3 linked regions of the Stegostoma tigrinum genome follow. The protein of the gene in region 1 interacts with the protein of each later gene in a pairwise test. Links are inferred from orthologs where the notes say so. Each region holds a gene or a part of one and is shown on either strand. Other genes may lie near its edges.

Region 1 (7,605 bases):
ACCTTTATACTTTTAAAATTGATTGAGTTGTTTCTTTTCTGTACTGGAACCTATAACAAAATGGTTAGAACTACTCAGTATTTTCCACAAATTGCAGCTCAAACCGCATCTGATGATAAATTACTGAAGTTTTTAAACAATACATCGCTGTAGCAAAAAGAATCATTAATAAGTGATGCTGGTAAGGCCATCATTTATTGCTTACCCATAACTGCTCACAATTGTATTCCTGAACAGTTGCAGTATATTTGATGTAGGTACCTACCAGCTGTGTTAGAGAATGGAATTTGACCCAGCAACAGTCAAACACATATAATTTGAAGATAATAAAATGTGAGGCTGGATGAACACAGCAGGCCAAGCAGCATCTCAGGAGCACAAAAGCTGACGTTTCGGGCCTAGACCTTTCATCAGAGAGGGGGATGGGGAGAGGGAACTGGAATAAATATAATTTGAAGTCAGGATGGTGTTTCCATGCACTGCTACTTTCTAGGTTGTAGACGCTGAGGTTTTGTAAAGTACTGAAGAAGTTGCTTTAGCTTATTTTGTAGCTAGTACATACTGTTATCACTGCCCACGACTGGTGGAGGGTGTGAATATTTAACATTGTGGATAGAGTGCTGATTAAGCAGTTTTCACTGAGCTGGATGTTGCTGAAGATCTTGAGTGTTATTGGCGCTGCACTCATCCAGGAAAGTGGGCTGCATTTCAATATACTCCCACTTTGTGCACGGCAAATGTCGGGACAGAATGTGGGAGTCAGGTGATGAGGAAATTACCACAGAATTTCAGGCCTCTGACCTACACCCAGGAGCCACTGTATTTATATGGCTGGACAAGTTAAATCTTTGGAATTTGTTAATTAAAAATAACTAAATATTACCATTTGGGACATGGGTGTTGTTGCCTGAATTGCCTATTCCTAGTTGCTCTTGAGAAGATGGGTGTGAGCTGCCTTCTCGAACTGCTGCAGCCCATGTGCTATTAGCAGATCCACAATGCCGTTGAGAGGCTGTTGCTTGACTAATTCAAGAGACAACTTTGCCAATTTTCCCACTAATCCCCAGAAGTTAGCAAAAAGGACTTTGTAGGGTTGGCAGAGCTGAATTTGCCCATTGTCATTTCCAGTGTCTGGGTTCATGCCCGGTGATCTTTCCAGTTTCATTCCTTTATTGAGAGCTTCTAGCAGTTGGTACAACAGAACGGCTTGCGGGGCCATCAGATGGCAGTTAACAGTCAATCACATGTATGCCAGACCAGGTGAACTATGGCAATATTCTTAACTAAAAGATGTTTGTTAACATGTTAGGTTTTTGCACACCAACAATGGTCTTATGATCATTAGATGATTATTTTGCATTAAAATTTCACTAGCTGCCACGGTGGGATTTGAATCTTGTTACCCAGAACATTATCTGGATTCCTAGTTCAGTAACTATACCACTTGGCCACCACATTATCGTCAATCAATGGTCTGCTCCTTAACCAGTGTGCATATTACTCTTTCTTTTGATTTTAGAACCAATCTGTTCAGAAATGTTATGAAACTCCCCTACAGCAGACAGGACATGACCCAGGCCTCCTGGCTCACAGATAGGGAAACTACCACAATAACACTTACGCTACTTTTTCGAAAACTTGTAATAAGTTGGTTAAACGTTATTTTCCTTTTTAGACAACTATAAGAAATTTTGCTATTCAGTTCTATACATTGATATTAATATAGTCAGTATCAGAAAGGGATTGATCTAAACAGGTATTTCTATTGAGATATTAATGTTACTGTTTTGACATCAGTATAAGATTGATACCATGGAGGTGGATCTCTGTTGAGATATGATCAGTAATATACTGATCCCCAGTATATTAAAGGTTTATCATATACGGGCTAATCCAATTCTTTATTGAGATACTAATAATAGTTACTGCATTGATCCTCAGCAAGAGCAGAATTCAACGTGATCTCTAGTGAGCTATTTAATTAGCATATTGACCCTCAGAGAGTGGAGTGATCCAATTTGGAGAGAAGGTCTTTTATTTTAAATTCACTGACAGGATGTAGTCATCTTTGACTAAGCCAGCATTTACAGCCAAAAAGACTTTAGTGAACCAGATGAATTTTTCTGATGACTGCCAATGGTTTCATGGTCATCATTAGACCCTTAATTCAGGAGTTTATTTTTTCTCTGTGGTGCAATATTCAGTAAAAGGATAATCTAATGAGGGATTTCTATTAAGATATTAACAGTGACTTATGGGCCCGCAGCAAAGGTCTGATGCAATGAGAGATCTCTATAGAAACTGACACGAAGGAGATGGATGGACAATGCAAGGGGGTCTCAATTGCCATAGTAACATCACTATATTGATCCTCAGAGGCTGACCTAATGGACAAGATTATATTGAGATACAGTATTGATACTAGTGTACTGACTCACAGTATGGGGCTGATCCAATGTGGTGGACGGGGGCTATTGAGATATTCACACTAATCTGCAGATCCTCAGTAAGGGAGACGGGGTGGGCGGGGTTCTCTATTCCCACAGCAAACATTCAACCCCTGGGCTCACCTCCAGTTTATGGTTGATCTGGAAGACAGTCTGCGCCTTGTGACAAAGCTGCGCGAAGCAGGAGCTGAGCGCCGTCATCTTCTGGCGGCCCTCGTAGGTGATCTCGGACTGGTCGGGGTCGATCTCCCCCAGGAGCAGGTCCACATCCACGAAGGCCTTGTCAAACTCCTTCTCCAGCACCTCCAGCCAGCGGAACATGGAAGGGCCGGCTGCCGCTGCCGGCGGAGCCCCGGCCGAGGAGGCCATAGTTGACGCTGCAGGACGGGAGAGAAGGGAGCAGATGGCGGTTGGGGACTCCGACCCGCAGCCCTGTACCGTGTGCCCGGAGTTTCGTCTCTTTCTTCCTCTTCTTCCTCCTCCTCCTCCTCCGTGGACCGCGGCGCCGCCTCCGGTTCCGGTTGTCAAGGAGCCCACTCTCGATTGCTCGCGCCTGCCACAACAGTAGAAGGCCGAGCGAGTGGAGCGAGGAACGGTCGTTCGAACCGTCACCATGGAGAAAGGGGGCAGAGCCAGAACGCGCGGCAGAAACCCCGCCCACGGCCCGCACGCGCACCCACTCACACACACCCCCGCCGCCCCGCAACAGCAACAACTTGAATTTATATGGCGCCTTGAACACAACTCGCCTCTTCCTGTTGTACAGTGTAAAATATGACGAAGCGCCCCGTCCAGGAGCTTTTGAACCAAAACTTAGAAGTGCAACAGAACACTGCGGATGCACAAGATCTGAAACCAAAGCAGAAATTGCTGAAGAAACTCACCAGGGCTGGCAGCATCTGTGGAGAGAAAGCGACATCTGATCTATTACTGAGTTTCTTCTTCAATTTCTTATTTTGAACGAAAACATTGGCCAGAAGTCGCTTCCAAGGCGCATTTCGAAGAAGAGAAATGAGGTGGGAAGGCAGAGAATTTTATGGAATATTTTCAGAAATTGGGACTAAATTGCTAGTGCAGCCACTGGTGGTGGAGTGTTTAATGTCTGGGAATCTGAATTGGAAGAAGTCAGGTGATCAGAGGACAAGTCAGAGTACAGAAAGGAGATAGAGGGCTTGGTGATTTGGTGCATTGAAAACAACCTCTCACTCAACTTCAGCAAAACTAAAGAACTGATCATTGATTTCAGAAAGAAGGATGAAGAACACGCCCCCATCTCCATCAGCAGAGCTGAGGTTGAGAGGATGAGGCTGTCAAGTTTCTAGGAGTGACAATAACCGACAACCTGTCCTAGATATCCCACATAAATGCAACAGTCAGGGAGGCACAGTAAAGCCTCTCCTTCCTCAGCCAGTCAGGAAATTTGACATGTTCACAAGGTCTCTTATAAGCTCCTCCTTCAGGCAGAAGATACAGTAGCTTGTACACACACCAGCAAGTTCAAGAACAGCTTCTTCCCTGCCATTATTAGACTGATGAATGGACTCTCTAACTTCAAATAATGCTGCTTTGCTAATGTTGATCTTGACCCTAGCACACACCCTGTGCAATGCAACTTGTATGAATCTGTCTAGTTTTGTTTTTCTCCCTACAATCTGTATGTCCTTGCTTACTATGATCTGCCTGTACTGCTCATAAACAATGCTTTTCACTGTACTTAGCTACACTTGACAATAAATCAATCAAATCAGATCAGAGGGTTGTGGGACTGGAGGAGATGAAGAATATAGGGTGAAAAGAGGACATGAATGGGCTTTGATGTTGATGAGTACATGGGCAGTGCAGTGTTGGATAAGTTCAGGTTCACAAAGGGTAGAACACTCTTTGAGAGCAGAACAAGGAGAACTCTGGCATAGTCAAATTTGGAGGGAACAATGACTTGGATGAGTTTCAAAAGCACAACAAATGAAACAGTGTCAGAATTGTATGATGTTACAGAGGTTGACATTGGATGCATTAATGATACTGTGAATATGTGGCCAGAAGCTCCCCTCGGGGTCATATATAACACCAATATTGGGAACAGTCTAGTTTAGTGTCATACAGATGCCAGGGAGAAGGATGGCATTGGCAGCTAGGGATCAGATTGGAGTATAGATTGAATTTTTCAATCTTTGCAATATTTATTTGGAGAAATTTTCTGCTTATCCAGTGGTGGGTATTTGTTAAGCAGTTTGCTAATTTCACAACAGCAGAAAATGTTCACAAGACCTGGCTTAATAATGTCCAGTCATTCAGAGAAGAGCAGTTTAAAGGAACAGGAGTAGTCTATTCAGCCCCTCAAGCCTGTCTCACCATTCAATGAAATCAGGGCTGATTTATGGCCTAACCCCATAGACCTGCCTTTGGTATTATAGCTGGCTTTGTTTAACAAAAGAACCCTCAACTTTAAAAGAAACAATGGATCTAGCATCAACTGCCTTGTTTGAAAGAGCATTCCAAACATCTTCCACCCTTCTGGATGTAAGTTTGCTCGCTGAGCTGGAAGGTTTGTTTTCAGATGTTTCGTCACCATTCTAGGTAACATCATCAGTGAGCCTCCGGTGAAGCGCTGGCGTTATGTCCCGCTTTCTATTTATCTGTTTAGGTTTCCTTGGGTTGGTGATCACATCCAGAACCTCAACCTGAGCTACAAATCTTCTCAAAACTCGCTATCTACCACCCTTGTATATGCTTCCTAATACTTTTTTGAATGGTCTGGCCCTAACTTTTAGACTATATCCCCCAGTTCTAGAATCCCCAACCAATGGAAACAGATTATCTTTATCTACACTGTCGTTTCCTGTTAATATCTTGAAAATGATAATCAGATCACCCATTAATTTTCTAAATTCTAGAGAAAACAGGCCTAACCTGCATAGTAATTTAGCCCTTGAAGTCAAGTAGTCATTCATGTTTTACTCCCTCCAAGGCTAATAATAAATCCTTTCTCTAAGGTAGGTCGCATAGATATATCGACAATATTCCAACTGGGGTCTAACCAGCTAACAAAATGTGGAGGCATGAGGGGAACTGCAGATGCTGGAGAATCCAAGATAACCAAGTGTGAAGCTGGATGAACACAGCAGGCCAAGCAGCATCTCAGGAGCACAAAAGCTGACGTTTCGGGCCTAGACCCTTCATCGGAGACACTGATGAAGGGTCTAGGCCCGAAACATCAGCTTTTGTGCTCCGGAGATGCTGCTTGGCCTGCTGTGTTCATCCAGCTTCACACTTGGTTATCTAACAAAGTGTGGAGCTGGATGAACACAGCAGGCCAAGCAGCATCCTAGGAGCACAAAAGTTGACGTTTCGGGCCTAGACTCTTCATCAGAAAAGGGGGATGGGGAGAGGACTCTGAAATAACTAGGGAGAGAGGGGGAGGCGGACTGGAGATGGATAGAGCAGAAGATAGGTGGAGAGGAGAGTACGGGTGGGGAGGTAGGGAGGTGATAGGTCAGTCCAGGGAGGACGGATAGGTCAAGGGGGCAGGATGAGGTTAGTAGGTAGGAAATTGAGGTGGGAGGAGGGGATAGGTGAGAGGAAGAACAGGTTAGGCAGGCTGCGACCAGCTGGGCTGGTTTTGGGATGCAGTGGGGGGAGGGGAGATTTTGAAGCTGGTGAAATCCACATTGATACTATTGGGCAGAGTTTTATGTAGCCGCAGCAGAATGTCTGCCTCCTTATACTCTTAGTCCTCTAAATATTAAAGGCCAGCATTCTATTAACCTTTCTGATCATTTTCTCCATCTGTCTCTGGCTTTTTAAAGATCAATGCACCTGAACCCCCAAGTCATCTTCTTCATTACCTTAAAAATTTCAGTAAGGTTTGTTAGATATGACTACCTGTCATGACTTCATGTGGACTCTCCTTGATTAATTAAAAAGTTTGAGGTGTTCAATCACCTTATCCATAATTGCAGACTCCAGCAATTTCGCCACCACAGATGTTAGGCTAACTGATGTGCAATTCCTGGTTTCCTCGTTTGTCGTTCTTAAGCAGCAGAGTGACATGTGAAATTTTCCAATCCAGAGGGACACCCCATTATCTAGGGAACTCTGAAAATTTGACAGTCTGACTTGTGTCAGCGATGGATCTTTATTTAAATGTCACATTTCATATCTAGGGAAGAAAAATTTTGAACAGAAGGCCATTAAGCTATGAGGTGCTTCGCCAAATGGCTACTGATGGACAGCTCCGAATGTCATGGAAAAAGATAATGAATCAGTGTTGAAAAGTGGGTACAGAACACAGTCTGGGAAGACTGAGTTTACATAAGATACAAGAATCAGGGGTCAAATGACCTCCTGCAAGATAGTTTTAATCATCCTACAAAACCATTCCTTGATATAGAGTCCAGATCTATAGTGGTTAACAAATATTGGCTTTGAACTTCGATTGATATGTTCTGTAAGACATTTCCCACACACTGAGCTGATGCCTGTTTTGTAGGTTATTGATTTAATTCAGATTTGTTGTTCCCGAATGGTTTTGTTTCGTTAAGTCCAAGAATATATTGGGTGTAATTGATGATCCCAATTCAAATTTGCCATATTTACAGAGAGTATCAGTGCAAACTCACGTGCAAAATGTTAGGGAGATAGGTCAATGTATATTCCTGCAGAATTGTTGGAGATTTAACTTTTAACTGCACTTAAACCAAGAATCCATCGTTGATTGTCAGAAAAACCTACGTGGTTCACTTAGGGAGGAAAACTGACATTCTTACCTGGCCTGGTCAATGTAACTCCATGGGGGATTATGGATAGTCAATAAATGCTGGCCTAGGCAGCAATGTCCTCATCCTGTGAATGAATGAATAAAATATATTGAAATATTTAGTTTTAAAGTAGAAATATATCTGGGATTGTAAGACACTATTTTTAAGGAAAATAATTAATAGCAATGTAAATACTTTTTTAACTGAAATAATTCAATGGCTTCACATATCTAGATGTTGCTTTCTCTGGTATAGAAATTTTTTTCAGCAATCTGGCCTTGGTGAGAGTAAACAATGGTGTTACTAACAATCATTCTACTTTCATTGTCCTGTTCATGGATTATGTGTTGTTTTGCGCAAAATTAGCAGGAACCTACTTTACAATAAAGGACATTCAGCTC
Region 2 (7,436 bases), on another chromosome or scaffold:
TCAGGCAGTCTGCTTAAAATGTAGTATTTTAAAGTGCAGGTTGTCAAACTTTGAATCACAAGTGGATCCAGTCTTCCTTCATGAATGATTGCAAGGGGTAAAGTCATACACGGACTCCCACAGTTTCTGAGCATATAAACTGACCAAAGTCACTAGAATAGCCAACACAAGTCCATGTGTCACAAATGAAGACCAAAACATGATGGGTCTAGAGCTGCAGACTTCACTATTACCACCTTCAAATTTATTTGTTTTGAAAAAATGTTCTTTACAATACTAATCAAGTACTGCTGATAACTCAAGGAAGTATTAAACTTTCCACCCAAATAAAATGCAATGTTTTAAATTTGAAAAGGCCATGTTTAGGAGAATTAATGAAGAATTATGCCAATTAAAATGAGCATAATCAGAAGTTTAATAGAACCAATTTCTTGAGCAACTGAACAACTAACTTGGCATTACCTGCTAAAAATATAACTATGCCTGTTTGTACTGTAACAATTACATGTTACAGGTAGCAGGCAGCTGCATTTACTTTAAGGTTACATTTTTGCAGACTGTATTCTTCATTTTAAAAAGTCTCAATTTGAATGTACATAGATTAGAAGCACTAACATTTCCAATAAATATTGGATAATTTAAGAAATTGTACATAAAAAGGGGAAAATTGTCCACATTCACAGCAAATATGGAAACAGTAAAAACACAGCTGGAGCATACTGGTCATTGATCTCAGGTTGAACAATACCAGGGAAAATATTAGATATCTGATTTTTTTAAAGTTCTTTGACTATATAAAAGCTCACATGGTCATTTATTTGATTGAATGATTTAATCTCCAGCAAGTGTCCATGCAGCACAAATTCCTTGTGCAATTTTCAAAATTTACAATTCTTCCTCCCACCCCCATATAAAAACTTACCTTTTTACCCAAAGCATTTATCTATTAATTTGAACTCAGTAGCTGACAAATACTAATACCTATCCATAGCATAACCTGGCTCATACAAAGTAAAACAAAAAGGTTTATTTGCACAAATTAACAAGAAACTCAAATCCAAAAATGTACATTTATAAAATCCTAATATCTTTCTGACTTAATGTGCTGCCATCATGATCATCCAACTTTCTTGGCATTTCTTTGGCAAACGACAATTTGAAAATAAAAGCTACCCTGATTATCAAAAGGGTATTTTTCCTCAACTTCAGCTCAAAACATTCTTGAGCACCAAAGAGCTGAAAGTGCAAATGGGACATCTGGAGAGTCGGTGAATGATGGGGTCAATAGTCTATCTCCTTATCCACTGAAATTTATCAATAGAAAAATAAATAAAGCCAAGGATAGAGAAGGAAATAAGGTAAATTATGAGTTAAATTACACAGAGAGAAAACTAGTAAGATTTTATTAAGAAAACGCAAGAAGGAACATTTCAAAGCAACAAACTCTTAGAACAATTTACTAATTATGGGGGTGAGACTCCCCAAGTTTTCGATTGTCTCTTTTCTGACCCTAAATACTTGAATTTGAATTGCAGAAACACACATCTTGTTCACAAAATATCCTTATGGTGTGAAATAGCAGCAATAACTGGCTGTGGGGAGTTCAATTTGTGTCTATGGAACAAATCCAGCAATTTCACAACACTGACACAAGGCGGTTTGATGGGGAGTTTCAGTTTTGCAAAGTGAACAGTCATTCACAACTCATGGTCTATTTCTTCCTCACCACAAATTGCTAGGGGGGGTTGGGGGGGGGAGAATGGTGCAGTGGTTTGGGCAGTAGAGTCGGCCAATGCTGTGAGCTTGCCATTCCTTTCCAACTGTGTTTGGGACATTGACATAAAAGAGCCATCCCAACTTTAAAAACCTTCCCCAGGGAAATCAGCTCAAATAAAACAGAAACAGACATTTTCACTCAGACTAAGAAAATAAGTCATGTGTCACATTCTGTCATAAGATAGTTATTAGAGATTGCTAAACTTCCCTACACTAAAAGACACATCATCCAACATAGATAAGAACAGAACGTTTGTTTTTATTTTTAAAATCTCACCTGTCCTGCAGTATCATAAAGTCCAAGAAGATACTGTTTACCTCCCACGGTGACAGTGACTGGTCAAACAGGAAAAGGATACATATATTACTAGTTATATGGAAATACTACAGTAATTGGCACAGTAATGTAGCGAATGTTTCTAATTAATAGCGGATGGAACATGCATCCAAAAGACAGACGTCTGATTGAAAGACTATGGCCAGACAGTGAAACTTTATTGAAACTTTCCCAAAAAGTTCGCGTTCAAGCTTTAAGAGCTGGGATGAACTCGGAAACAAAAAAAAGACGAATTAAAAGTTACACCTTTTTTTACAAGAAATGTAGCTAGACATTTCTAAAGAAAATAGTTACCCGCGTAATGGTCGAACACAGTGGGCACATATTCCTCTGGAAAAGCATCGTTCGCGTAGCTCATCAGCAAACAAGTTTTGCCCACCGCTCCATCTCCGATCACCACGCACTTCAGCATACTCCTCGGACCTGTTCCATTGGCCATGGTGCGGCAGCTTCATTGCCTCAGCAACACCTTCCCACCAGGGCATGGCAAAGGTGCCATTTTCCACATGTTCAGCCTGTTCTGTGCTTCTCAAACAAATGCATTCCACACCTCACACCTCCCCCCCGCCCAACCCGTGAACAAAAAGCAAAACAGCTAAAAACAAAAGCTTTTAATTTTAACAGGAAAACTGGCGGCGACTTTCCTCTCCGACGGATCTGGATGTGTCAGGAGGACGAGCTCTCTGACAACATGCACAAATTCCTCGCTGCCCACACTCTCAGTTAGGTTCAAACACGAGAGTTTTTCCACATCTGGATTCCCTTCCCCATGCAGCAGGCGGAGGTGAATGGCAATTCTTTTTTTTAAAAAAAACTCTGTGCCTTTCCCCTTCAGTCACTTTTCCCACTGCGTGCCTGGCTCCTCTTTCTATGTATGTGTTAAGTGTGTCTCCTTTCCAGCCCCTCTCCTGGCCAGTAGCCACACTCCAGCTGCATTGTACAAGCAGCCCCGAACTTCGCCTGGCCGAGGGGGCGGGTGGGTGGGGATAGCGGCTGATTGACAGCTCGCTCGGCCAGCCGGCGGCCCTCATCGACCGGCCCCAGCCAATGTCGAGAGTACTAGGGCGAGTGCTTCCCATAGCACAAACCGAGAGGGAGAGTCATTGTATCACTGCTGCAGATATCATGTGACAAGAAAGTGACCTCATCCATTCCGAGCAGCGCTGAGATTTAAAACAAGAGTCACAGCGACACTGCCTATAAAGCTAGAACACCCACTTGTAAGATACCTTCCTGCAGACAAAAGGCTCGCCAGAGATATAACTATCTTTCATATCATTCACCGCCCCCTCCCCTTTTCTGTTGTTGTGAAGTGATCATGTTACTTTTAACACAACGTCACAGCAATTGCAGGATGCATTTCAAACAAGGAAATTCCGCCTTAGGATGTTTTCCACTGGGGTATACGCGTGTTATGTGTCGTATAGTCAGCACCATTCTTCATTCACTCGGTAAATCGCCTGCTAAACCCTAATGTCAACCCTAAAATTGGAAGGCATGGAAGCGGTCAGGAGGACTGCTCTCCTTCCAATTTTCCCTTCACTTCGCAGGCCTGCACTTCATGAGCATCCCGTCAAACTGAGAGCCACGTAGTCTGATTGTGGCACCCACTGCCTCCCAGTTTAATTCAGGGAGCAGGAAGCTACAATCAGTCTCTCCTAGGTCATCGAGAGGCCATTGATCCGAACAACACAGCTACCGACATTCCACAGCCGAAATCAGAGATTAATCTTGTATCAGAGATAATGGGAACTGCAGATGCTGGAGAATCCAAGATAATAAAGTGTGAAGCTGGAATGAACACAGCAGGCCAAGCAGCATCTCAGGAGCACAAAAGCTGACGTTTCGGGCCTAGACTCTTCATCGGAGAGCTCTGATGAATGGTCTAGGCCCGAAACGTCAGCTTTTGTGCTCCTGAGATGCTGTTTGGCCTGCTGTGTTCATCCAGCTTCACACTTTATTATCAGAGATTAATCTTATTGTTGATCACCATTTGTATAAAACACTTCTGAGCATGATTGAAATTTCCATTCATTAGTTGCACGGTGTGCTACCTTATTTAACTGTGCTACACTCAAGAACAAAATGTCCCCCATAATGCCAATACAAGCCAAAATGTTTATCTTCCACTCATGCAAGTAGCTGATGCTTCACCTCAAATTAACTTCCTAATTGCCATTTTGCCTTGCGCCATGCTTGCCCACTAAACTCAGTTACCTTTCGTAAATCTGACCTGCCTTAAATTGCTTTTTTTTCCTGTCTGTCCCTACCTTTCCCACTGTATTTACATTGAAGGTGGATTTTTCATTGAATTCTCCAGTTTTCCCTGTAGGTTACCCAATTTACAGTGCTGCAGCAGGCTTTTCATTCTAGTTGGCATGTTTGTGTTTGATATGTGCCTCCTCAGTCTATTTCATCTGACCTTATCTGCCTATCTTTCCACTTCTCCCTCACTCGAGAACTTATCTAATTTCCTTTAAAGGCATCTAAGCTATTCAATTCAACCATCCCATATGGTAGCAGGTTCCACATTCTAACTATTCTTTTCCACTATTTATAAACTACAGGCTGAGTCACAACTGCGCTAAGGCTCATATCTGAATCACACATATTTTTGACACCAACTTCCCAATGTTGCAGAGAATTAACTATAGTATATCATATTTGAGAGAGAAAATTAAACTTCTTGAAAAGCTCAAGTCTCCTCTGACTTTGCTTTGTTCAAAACATGCTGGAAAATGACTGCTTTTTAACAAGCCACCTAATGACAACATTCTGTACAGGCACCATGAACCAGAAAACACACAGTTGACACAGACATCTGAAGTCTTTGATTCTACAGCACTGCAGCAAAACCTTAAAGGCCCAGGAACTGCTGCTGAGGATTGGGGGTGGTACTGAAGTTTTCTGTCAACAGAAATCTTCAGATCAGGGACCGTTGTCAATTATTTTTATAAGTGAGTCTTGCTATTTATGTCAGTGGTTACACTCTGTGGAAGTCAGGGAGAATGGAGGTCACAAGCAGAAAGCTACAAATTGAATAGAAGAAACTAATAACACAACGTATGGAGTTGTAAGCTCATTGCAAAGGTCAGAAATAAGATTGTTTTTTAATCATGAAATACAAATATCTTTATCGGATATAGAGAGAATTGCTTGTGTGTTATATATCAATTGCTACAGTTAAGGGAAGAATAACGAGGGCAGAATCATAAATAACAAGACAATAGACTAGAGAGAATTAAATTGCACAATAAAAATAAAATATCTGAGATTTATAAGAAGTTAATGTCCTTTTCAGTTGTTTGTTGTTGGGATGTGAACAGCACTAGAAAAACTACATTTGTTGTCCATTCCATTATGGTATTTGTGGGTCCAGTCCTTGATCTACTACAGTTCTTCTGATGATGGTACTCACACAATAATGTTGGATAGAGAATTCTAGGTACAAAAACAAAGTTGCTGGAAAAGCTCAGCAGGTCTGGCAGCATCTGTGAAGAGAAAATCAGAGTTAACATTTTGCAACCGGTGACCCTTTGCCAGAGCCTTCTGAGGGAGGACCACTGGACCCAAAATATTAACTCTGTTTTTTACTTCACAGATGCTGCCAGACCTGCAGACCTTTGTTTTTGTTCCTGATTTACATCATCCGCAATTCTTTCGGTTTTTATTTAGAGAATTCTAGGTATCTGATTCACACATAAGTAGGGAACAGTAGTAAGTGATCAAGTCAGGGAAAATGCCAGGGAAGCTGGAGGTGATGGTATTCACATAGTAACAGAACTTCCAGCAGCAAATGGTGATGGTGAGAGAGGGCACTGAGGACAGGAGCTCAAGCAAGTGTGCCAGGACTCTGGCAGCAGGTGATGATGGTGAGGGAGGGCAGCTGGAGCAGTCAAACGGACCATTTCTTGAAAAAGGATGTTTTGGGGGAAATAGGACGCACAGGGAGAAGTGCGAAAGATCAAATAATTCCACGACCTAATATAAACCAAAGGCTTCAAAAATGTCATTTGGGCTCTGAATTTCAGCTACCACCTTCATCCATGTGACAGTTAAAGCTTTCAGCAGCCTTAATTTCCAATTCCTCCCCATGTGTCTACAGGATTCATCTTTAATTCAATATTTGAGTTTAGTTTTGTAAGACCAGGCTTTATCACAGCCCACTTCGCACAGTTTTAACTTAAAAATCAAACTAGACAAGTGTCAACTTTTCCAGACAAAAGAATGATCCCTTGGGCGCTTCATTACCAAGGAAGGCATCATTGATGATTGTAGAGGTGCTCTAGCCTACGACTGGGAGTGCACTCTATGGGGTTCCTTTGTCTAATGGGATATTATAGGAGGCTTGTGCAAGGCTAATCACAGTTGGCTGCCTCACACTATGATATGCTGAGAAAATGAAAGAATACTGAAGGACTGTTTGGAAAAGGATGTGCGAGGTGGGATACTTTGTGGAGCATCGCAGGGAGTTGGACCAGAACAGGTGAAGTCCTTAGCTTCCCAGATTTCAATCTCCCTTTCATATGGAAACTGATTTAAGATTATTTGGCTCAGGAATGGTGTTGTCACAGATTCAAGGGCAAGAAAGAGTGACTGTAACTTATATTTGTTGGAATCTCAATATGGAGTGTTACTCCAGCATGAACTCAAACTGCAAGCTTTAAGGTAGACTTTTTCCCAGCCATTCAGAAACATTTTGGTGGATCCTGAGCTTGAAGCATTTGCCAACAGCAATCCACTCAGCTACTTTCAATCATCCACCAAGCTTGGAGTTTCATTGGGTCACTGAATACATTGGGTTTTGCTTCAAGATTCTGTACAGGTCATGTAAGTGGTAATGCCCTTAGTCTGAAGGCAGACTACAGGTCAGGCAAAGTAATGCAAATGCAGATGCCCTTAGCCTGTAGGCTGACTACAGGAGGGAACTCGCCCTCTGCCCAGTTGAAGTTGCAGTGGCTGACACCAAGCCACAAGCAAAGGACAATGTTCAGACCCAGATTCCCAATGACATTCAAGCTAAGATTCAGTGGAATGTTAGCTTTGCACATGAGAGTGAGATCACCCACAATAGTGTTCAGGTCAGTCAGGTCTCTAAGATTCATTTGGTCAATGAACCTTGTTGCTTCAGTTGCTACCTCCCAGCACCAGCACTGTGGGTGATCTAACTTGGAGTCTGGATCCCCTATAAGATTCCAATACAGCTCAGGGAGTGATAAGGTCTTCTCAAGCAAATGCTGGATATCACCCTACTCTTTGCCGTTTGACCAGATTGGTGATACAAGCAAAGAATAGAGCCGCTGATATGGACTCAAATATTCTA
Region 3 (6,981 bases), on another chromosome or scaffold:
GAAACCCACAATTCCTTTATGCAAAAGTACATTTGGTTTTAGTCCATTGAGGTGCGAAGACTTAACTCTCCTCGACTACGCGTATTCTTAAGCAATAACAACGTAATCCGTATTATACACCCAAGAATACCCGTCACCGAAGAGAGTCTGAATAAATCTAGCAACATTTAGCCAATGCCAAAAATCCACACCCATTATCAACAAAGACGGCATCCAAAGAATGAATCTGAGTAGTCGTTCCCTCAGTACAGAGCAAGTCGAGTTTTCATCAGTGCCATTCTGCAAAGGGAAAATGAATAAAATGCATTTTGAAGTACGACCAGAATTGGCGACGATTTAGTGTACTTGATATCTGTCTCCAAATGTACGGCATTTGAAATTACAGCCTATCTGAAAAGGGTAGACTTCAAAAGCACTGAGTTAAGTAACTCACCTGTGTGATGCAGCGTAGCATTTGCAGAATAACGCGTAGCTGGTAGCATTCTTCGAATTTCGATTTTTCATTCTCAAAAGCAAATATTCCCCTGAACATTGAGTCGAAAAGACGCCCAGCAGCTAGGTTCCTGGGGTAGCAGGAGGGGAGGGTGGGGGTGATTGGTGGGAGGTTAAAACAAAGGACACATAATTTCATTCATTAGTTGTGAATCCCTTTATCTAATTATACATTGCCTTGAAAATAATTTGGAAGTGGGAGGAACAACTGTGCGTGGGTGGGTGACAGAAGTATTAAAAGTATTAATGGTAGGTGATGGGAGTATTGATTTGAAATATTTAAAGATAATCTTTACTAATCAACTGTGTAAAAATATACGATTCAGAAGTCATTTTAAGAAAGAGCAACAATAAGGACAGTTGTTCTCATCAATAGGTATGGACAGGCTGAAACAGGCTGAATCTCCAAGTGAATCAGCTAAAGAAACCCTTACAGGCCTCTACACAGAGATCCTTAACTAAATTACAATGAAGGGAAAGCAGAGAGACAGGAAAAAATTCAATATTTCCCTGAGCACCGTTACTACTATGATTCCTCTGTCGATGTTGGGTGATGGGGTAACTGAGAATACATCTTTTTGTTCAATGCATCACCACTCCCAAGCATGGTATTTCCTCCTTTTTTCAGCTTATGAAAGGGGTGGAACCCATAAAAAAGGACAGGCAAAAGCCTCTTTTTTATGGTTACTTAATCCTTATCACATTGTAATACCATCTTATGCCTATTGACTGACTGTGCCCAGCATCCTGAAATCTCCGTGACAGATGAGATTGGCACAAAAAAGAACAAAATCAACAATGAGTGGCTTGTGTTGAATACCGAATTTCATCACCGAATGAAGTAACTATTTTCACAGCATTTCGATTCCCCATTTCAATTCCTGACAGAATTTCGCCAGAGATTACAGAACACAATCGGGTGCATGTTCACCTAAAACCAGTTCTTTCTGCGAGGCTGCTGCCATTGGCAGTCTCCAAATTGATGTTTTGGGGAAAAAAATGCCAAAATCAGACGTTCAACTGTGAGAACGTACTGTTACCTTGGCGGCACCCACCACAGTAGACATACGAGGCTTTCATAATTGCAATAGCAAATACATCAGTGCAATACAGAAAAAAAATCAATTTATTTCGCGTAAATTTCCTAATACTCACAAGAATATCTGTAAAATAATGCCTTATGCTTGATAACCATGAGCAGGAGAACGGCAGAGTCCAGCCCAGCTAGTATTAATACGACATCCAGACTATGGAATGCGCATGTATTCGCATACTCGCCTGCCCAGCGTGCCAGCTTTTTTTTAAAAAAAATACTTAATTGCTTCCATATAAATTACAATGGCGAGACGATGCGCCTGACGAACTGGAGAGAAATGCTACCGAGACAGAGAACGAGCGAGCGAGAGTGAGTGAGAGAGAGAGAGTGAGAGAGAGAGAGAGAGAGAGAGAGAGAGGAACGTTTTCAGCACCACGGAGAGCTCATCTCTAACAGACGCAGGCAGCAGCGACACCGAACCACAGCGCAACAAAAGCTCTTGTGAATCGAAAGTGCACAAGGCGAACTACTTACTAGCACCATTTCCTATGAGACCACTGCCTCTGGGTGCATATTCATACCCCACCCCCCCCCACCCTCACACCCCACCCCACCCCCACCGCCCACCTTCAGGCTATGGTATTCCCAAAAAAAATGACTGTGCAGGGCGCAGGCAGTCAGGGCAACATGCTGTATATCCTGGGAGCCTTGAAATATCCCGCAGTACCAGCCGAGAGACATCATCTGCTAAATACCTTTGTTCATTGATTCCCACGTTGCATCTAGTCAAAATAGCACTGCAATTACCCTTCAATAATGCGATTAGCCATCACGAGCAGCTTGTTTTTTTTATTCACATTTCACTCGAAATGAACGTACCACAGCACAATGTCGGCGCCTTTCACTCATTCTCGCGACATAGTCGTGCATTTTGAACAGCCTATTGTCAAAGTCGTCTTATTTCGCAACGATCCAGAGAGATCCGGGGCGATGTGATTCCCACATTGGTCATTTCACACGTCCCTTTGCAGGGTAAACCAAACTGTGTGATTTGAACCAGTTTTGTTTTTAGAAAAAGAAACTAGATTTTAAAAGGAAATTTAAAGATATGTATTACACACACATTATATATATATATATATATATATATATCAGCCCGGTTAATGTACGCGCTGGATATTGCGAGGATGCATGGCTGGTAGGGGGTGGGAATCACTGCACAGTCAACCAGCAGAGGATTCAAAACAAAACTAAGCGAGGACGAAACTCCGTGTTGCCATTAACACTCCAAGGGTCTCTCTCTCTCTCTCTCTCTGAAGGCACGGGCTTACCTTTCTTTTCCACTGAAGGCTCAAATTCAATCTCCTCCGGGGTCGACATGCGCTACCGATGTGTTTCTCAACCTCCGTTACGAAGGTTGCATTCTGGATTTGTGGAGTGGGGAGTGGGGAGGGGAGGGGGAGGCTGTTGCGGGGTTTGACTGCAGCTCCCATCCACCCTCGAGTCGTAGGTTCTTTCCGACGTGGTTCCCTGTTTTGCTTTTTTTTTGTATTAGGCGTTTTGTAACGGCTCTCCGCTCCAGGGGCTACAAGACGGCTGAGATCTTTACAGACAGAGAGAGAGAGAGAGAAATCTAATCAAAGTGTTCCAATTACGACCAGTTGTCGCCTGTCACAACGCATAAATGTAACTCCGCAACACCACTCCCCCCACAGTAAAAAAACACAATCGTTGGGAACCAGATTTGGAAATGGTTTATTTGCCAGAGAGAGATCATTACATCTCGGTACCATTTAACATAATTTCGTGGATCCCAAACATGCTAATGGTCGATTACTTGAAGGAGATCTGACGTCCCCACTTCATAGTCTCTTATTCATGAGTTCCCAGTAGGAGATGATGAATACCTCTGGGACACTGTTCATATATATACAGCGCAGTGAACAGCAGCTCTGAATGGTTTCAGGATCAGGACCAGCCAGCATTGAACGCTGACATATGTTGACTGAAGTTTAATAATAATAAAAAACCAAGGGATTTTCTCATCAAAATTCGAACCCAGCCACGTCCTCTTATAGAGTTAGCATTGCTTTGAAACCTCGCCATATGCTGTTTATTTGCGTCGATTTTAGATTTCAAACCTGCCATTTTCACACTGGGTGCGAATAATGTGTTTTTTTTTACGGTGTTGGGATGTGAAATCGGTCACAGTTGTAATAAACCACCAGGTAGATTATCTGATCAGTATTAAACCGAAGCTCTTCCATCCTAAATGGTGTACCGCAAACGGGATTACTTTTTGTTTCTTTTGGCGGGGTGGGTAGAGGGGAGTAGTAGTGGACTGGTGCCGAGGATCTTACACTTTTGGTTCCAGGTACTGGAATGATTTGTAAGTTGAGATTTCGAATTTCTGGTTCTTGTCATCGCGTCTGAAAGGAGAAGGATACGCGTGTTAGTTATGCTGTAGCTTTATAACAGGGTGAAGTTCAACTCCCATTACTCATTTGCGATGTCTTTCCATTTATTTGTCAAAACCGAATATGTGCCAGTATGTCCTGCGTTCCATATGGCAAAGGATGTATTCAAGTCGGTTATTTTCACATGCGAACTTATTTAGCCAATAACCCTTAGATATTGGCCCAAAGGTCTAAATTGACTGGCTTTGTAAGCCATCAGACTCGATGCTGGATGCATTATTTATTTACTGAAGTGTGGAGGTGACACTTGCAAATTCCAGAGCAAAATTTCAAACTGACCGCAAAGAGGGGGAAAAAGAAATTGGCGTTTCCTGTATTGTTCGATTTCTACACAAAAGAATTATTACAGCCATGTGCCAACAGGTATTAACACTGTGGTTTGAAAATCTATCCACATGAATACTGCAGTATTTGTTCGTGTCTGTTTTACGACACCTAAAATCAACCAGACAGACTACTAATTAACATGGAGCTGATTCCGCCTGATTGGATGCGAGTTCTTTAAATTGTATACATAACTGGGGGTGGGTAAGGAGCCTTCGTTTAGAAAAGGGGCAGCGCAAATTTCAATCAATTGCAGTAGTTAAGGGTGGCCTCGCCACACCACCTCCTCTCTTTTGTATCCATGTCTGTTAAATATTCACTGGAAAGCTGTAAGCAATGACAATCTCTGTGTGTGTGTGTGTGTGTGTGTGTGTGTACAATCCCCCTGACATTGCAACTTCATCTGAAACCCCAGAGGAGCACTCTGCTCACTGCCAGCTGCTATGCCCCGTTCTTCACATCCAACCGAAGCTTCCCAGATCTGAGACTGACTGATCGGCCGACGCTGCCATTCAAACAAATCAGAGGCTGAGCGGAAGTTCGCCGCGTCTTTACTGTGTTGCCGCCGTTAACAGTGTAGTAAACAGTACACTTGGTGGTTCAGTTGAACTCCGGATCTTCAGATGTACTGGGCGACATATGAGCAGAAGCTGTCCTGCTCTAGCCCTTTATTAGATGTGGGCCAATATGCAACAGAGCCGCGTTAGTTTTGCGAGGCACCAGTCGTGTCGAACTATTGCCACCTGGAGGCCAGGTTTGTATCGCTCTACTACTCTATTGTTTTTCGCCTGATTGATTTTAGATGGGAACTCTGAAAACTCCAGCCCAAAAATGTACAGGCTGCTTTCAGCATATTTACCTCGGCCTCTCACAAATTTACTACATATTCTGCAGGGGAGGGATCATATGCTTATAAGTGGGTTAGCTTGGAAAACAGACCCACACCAACATCGTCCCCCCAGCCCCCACCACAACCTCTCGTCACCAGTTAGGTATTGCAAACTTTATTATTTTCTTCCTTGGATTAAGCCATTACAAAGACCCTATTACAGATGCTCATCCGCGTGTATACATTAAATGTAAGCAAAACACAAAATGCAAATTGTTTTCTTTTTACGGAGAATTACAGCGATATGCAGCTTCGTAAAACATTAAGACCTTTTTTGTTTAAAACGGATTGGACTTATTGCGTCTCAGTAAATTGTCATTTTGTCATATATTTTATACAATAGAATCCAGCCTACCAAAGTCATTTTGTTCATCACTCTTAGTGTCACCTTCCATTTTAGCCGACAATAGGGAGTGGCTTTGGTCATCTGAGCTTTGAGTGGACTTTATTGGTGGTACTGTCTCATTTATATTTTATAAAGGACATGCAACATTGTTTCCCAAAACGTTTCCGCTCCAATCAAGTTGGCGTCATGGTTCCTTTAGTAATCGGTCATTACCTTCGATCTAAGGAACAATCTTGATCGATAACATGTTAAAGATGGACTGGTTTGTTCAGGTCCATTGCAATTAGCATTAACACAGCAACAATCTGTATGAGCCTTTGGGGACAACATGTAAACTATTGAGAGTGAACAATCAGATCATCAAAATATTAGCTAGTGTATAAATTGTTCACTCTATCTACGCTTCTCGCACACTTTTGGTTTTACCACCTTTTTAAGTGTGAATAGATAAAACAGCTACATTAGAGAAGTGGACGAACAAAGTTATTTGTAGGTAACTGTAGAGTGTACAGAATTATCAAACAAACACGAGCACTTAGCTGTATCTGCATATATGTACCGTGATGAATCAGTTGAATCAAACAAAATTCGGGTTAAATATTTTATTGTAGATATTGCCAAATGTAAACAGTGTTCGTATTTACTAGCATATGTATTATACATATTACCTTAGAATTGTTAAGTGCGTTTATTACATGTTTAGAAAAACAAACTGGCAGACTAACTATAAACATTCACTGTCAGTGCGAGATGTAATAACAATTATTAACATAAACTAAACGCAATACATGTAAGGCGGGTTGTACCTCTTACACTAACATCTTATATGTTTTTAAAAAGCAGTCAATTATAGGCCCTCATGTTGCAGCTTGCACTTTCTTTGCTAATTTGCAGCAGTGTTATTTAAGGATAAAGTTATGAAGCAGCCAGACCGGGGAGTCCTCGTCACACGGATCGTGGGCGCCCCCTACTGCCCAGACACGAAGCCAAACACAAATAGATCTCCACCTTACAAGGACTTCAGACAGATCCACTTCCTCCCAAATTCCGAAGCCGAGTGGAAAAAAATGAAAGCATTACACATTCATTTCATTGGTCTAAATGTAGCGAGGTGATTTCGTGCTTTATGTTACATGGATCAAACAATATGAAATAAGTGCAAACATAATCTACAAGATAAACGGGTAAATTTATGTTTAAAATAAATACAGAAAAGATGATTGTAGTTAGCAAAGAAATTCTTTAATCGTAAAATATTGCTTAGTTGGGGAGTTACAACTTTCCATGTGTAAAATAGATCATTTGTGTAATGAATATTTACAAAGGAAATCAAAAATATAAAACGCAACTATATCTACATTGTCAGGGACTCATTACCAACTAAAATACAAAGACCTACTGCGATTAAACTTCGGAC

Evidence for each region. The genes of interacting proteins can lie anywhere in the genome.
Region 2: the proteins of gopc (region 1) and rhoq interact in a two-hybrid assay, tested with the Homo sapiens proteins (2 studies listed by BioGRID). The link is inferred for Stegostoma tigrinum from reciprocal best matches to the Homo sapiens genes GOPC and RHOQ.
Region 3: the proteins of gopc (region 1) and dpyda.1 interact in a two-hybrid assay, tested with the Homo sapiens proteins (2 studies listed by BioGRID and IntAct). The link is inferred for Stegostoma tigrinum from reciprocal best matches to the Homo sapiens genes GOPC and DPYD.

What each region holds. Positions count from the first base shown.
Region 1 is NC_081357.1:61,385,920-61,393,524, forward strand, and holds the start of gopc (Golgi-associated PDZ and coiled-coil motif-containing protein), read right to left. Parts: upstream 3,065-7,605; 5' UTR 3,063-3,064; coding exon 2,571-3,062; intron 1-2,570.
Region 2 is NC_081362.1:68,547,848-68,555,283, forward strand, and holds the start of rhoq (rho-related GTP-binding protein RhoQ), read right to left. Parts: upstream 3,087-7,436; 5' UTR 2,553-3,086; coding exon 2,408-2,552; intron 2,113-2,407; coding exon 2,054-2,112; intron 1-2,053. UniProt on the Homo sapiens protein: Plasma membrane-associated small GTPase which cycles between an active GTP-bound and an inactive GDP-bound state. In active state binds to a variety of effector proteins to regulate cellular responses. Involved in epithelial cell polarization processes.
Region 3 is NC_081361.1:81,750,432-81,757,412, reverse strand, and holds the start of dpyda.1 (dihydropyrimidine dehydrogenase a, tandem duplicate 1), read right to left. Parts: upstream 3,087-6,981; 5' UTR 2,860-3,086; intron 2,514-2,859; exon of another isoform or gene 2,408-2,513; intron 2,400-2,407; exon of another isoform or gene 2,284-2,399; intron 1,973-2,283; exon of another isoform or gene 1,648-1,972; intron 564-1,647; 5' UTR 533-563; coding exon 434-532; intron 1-433.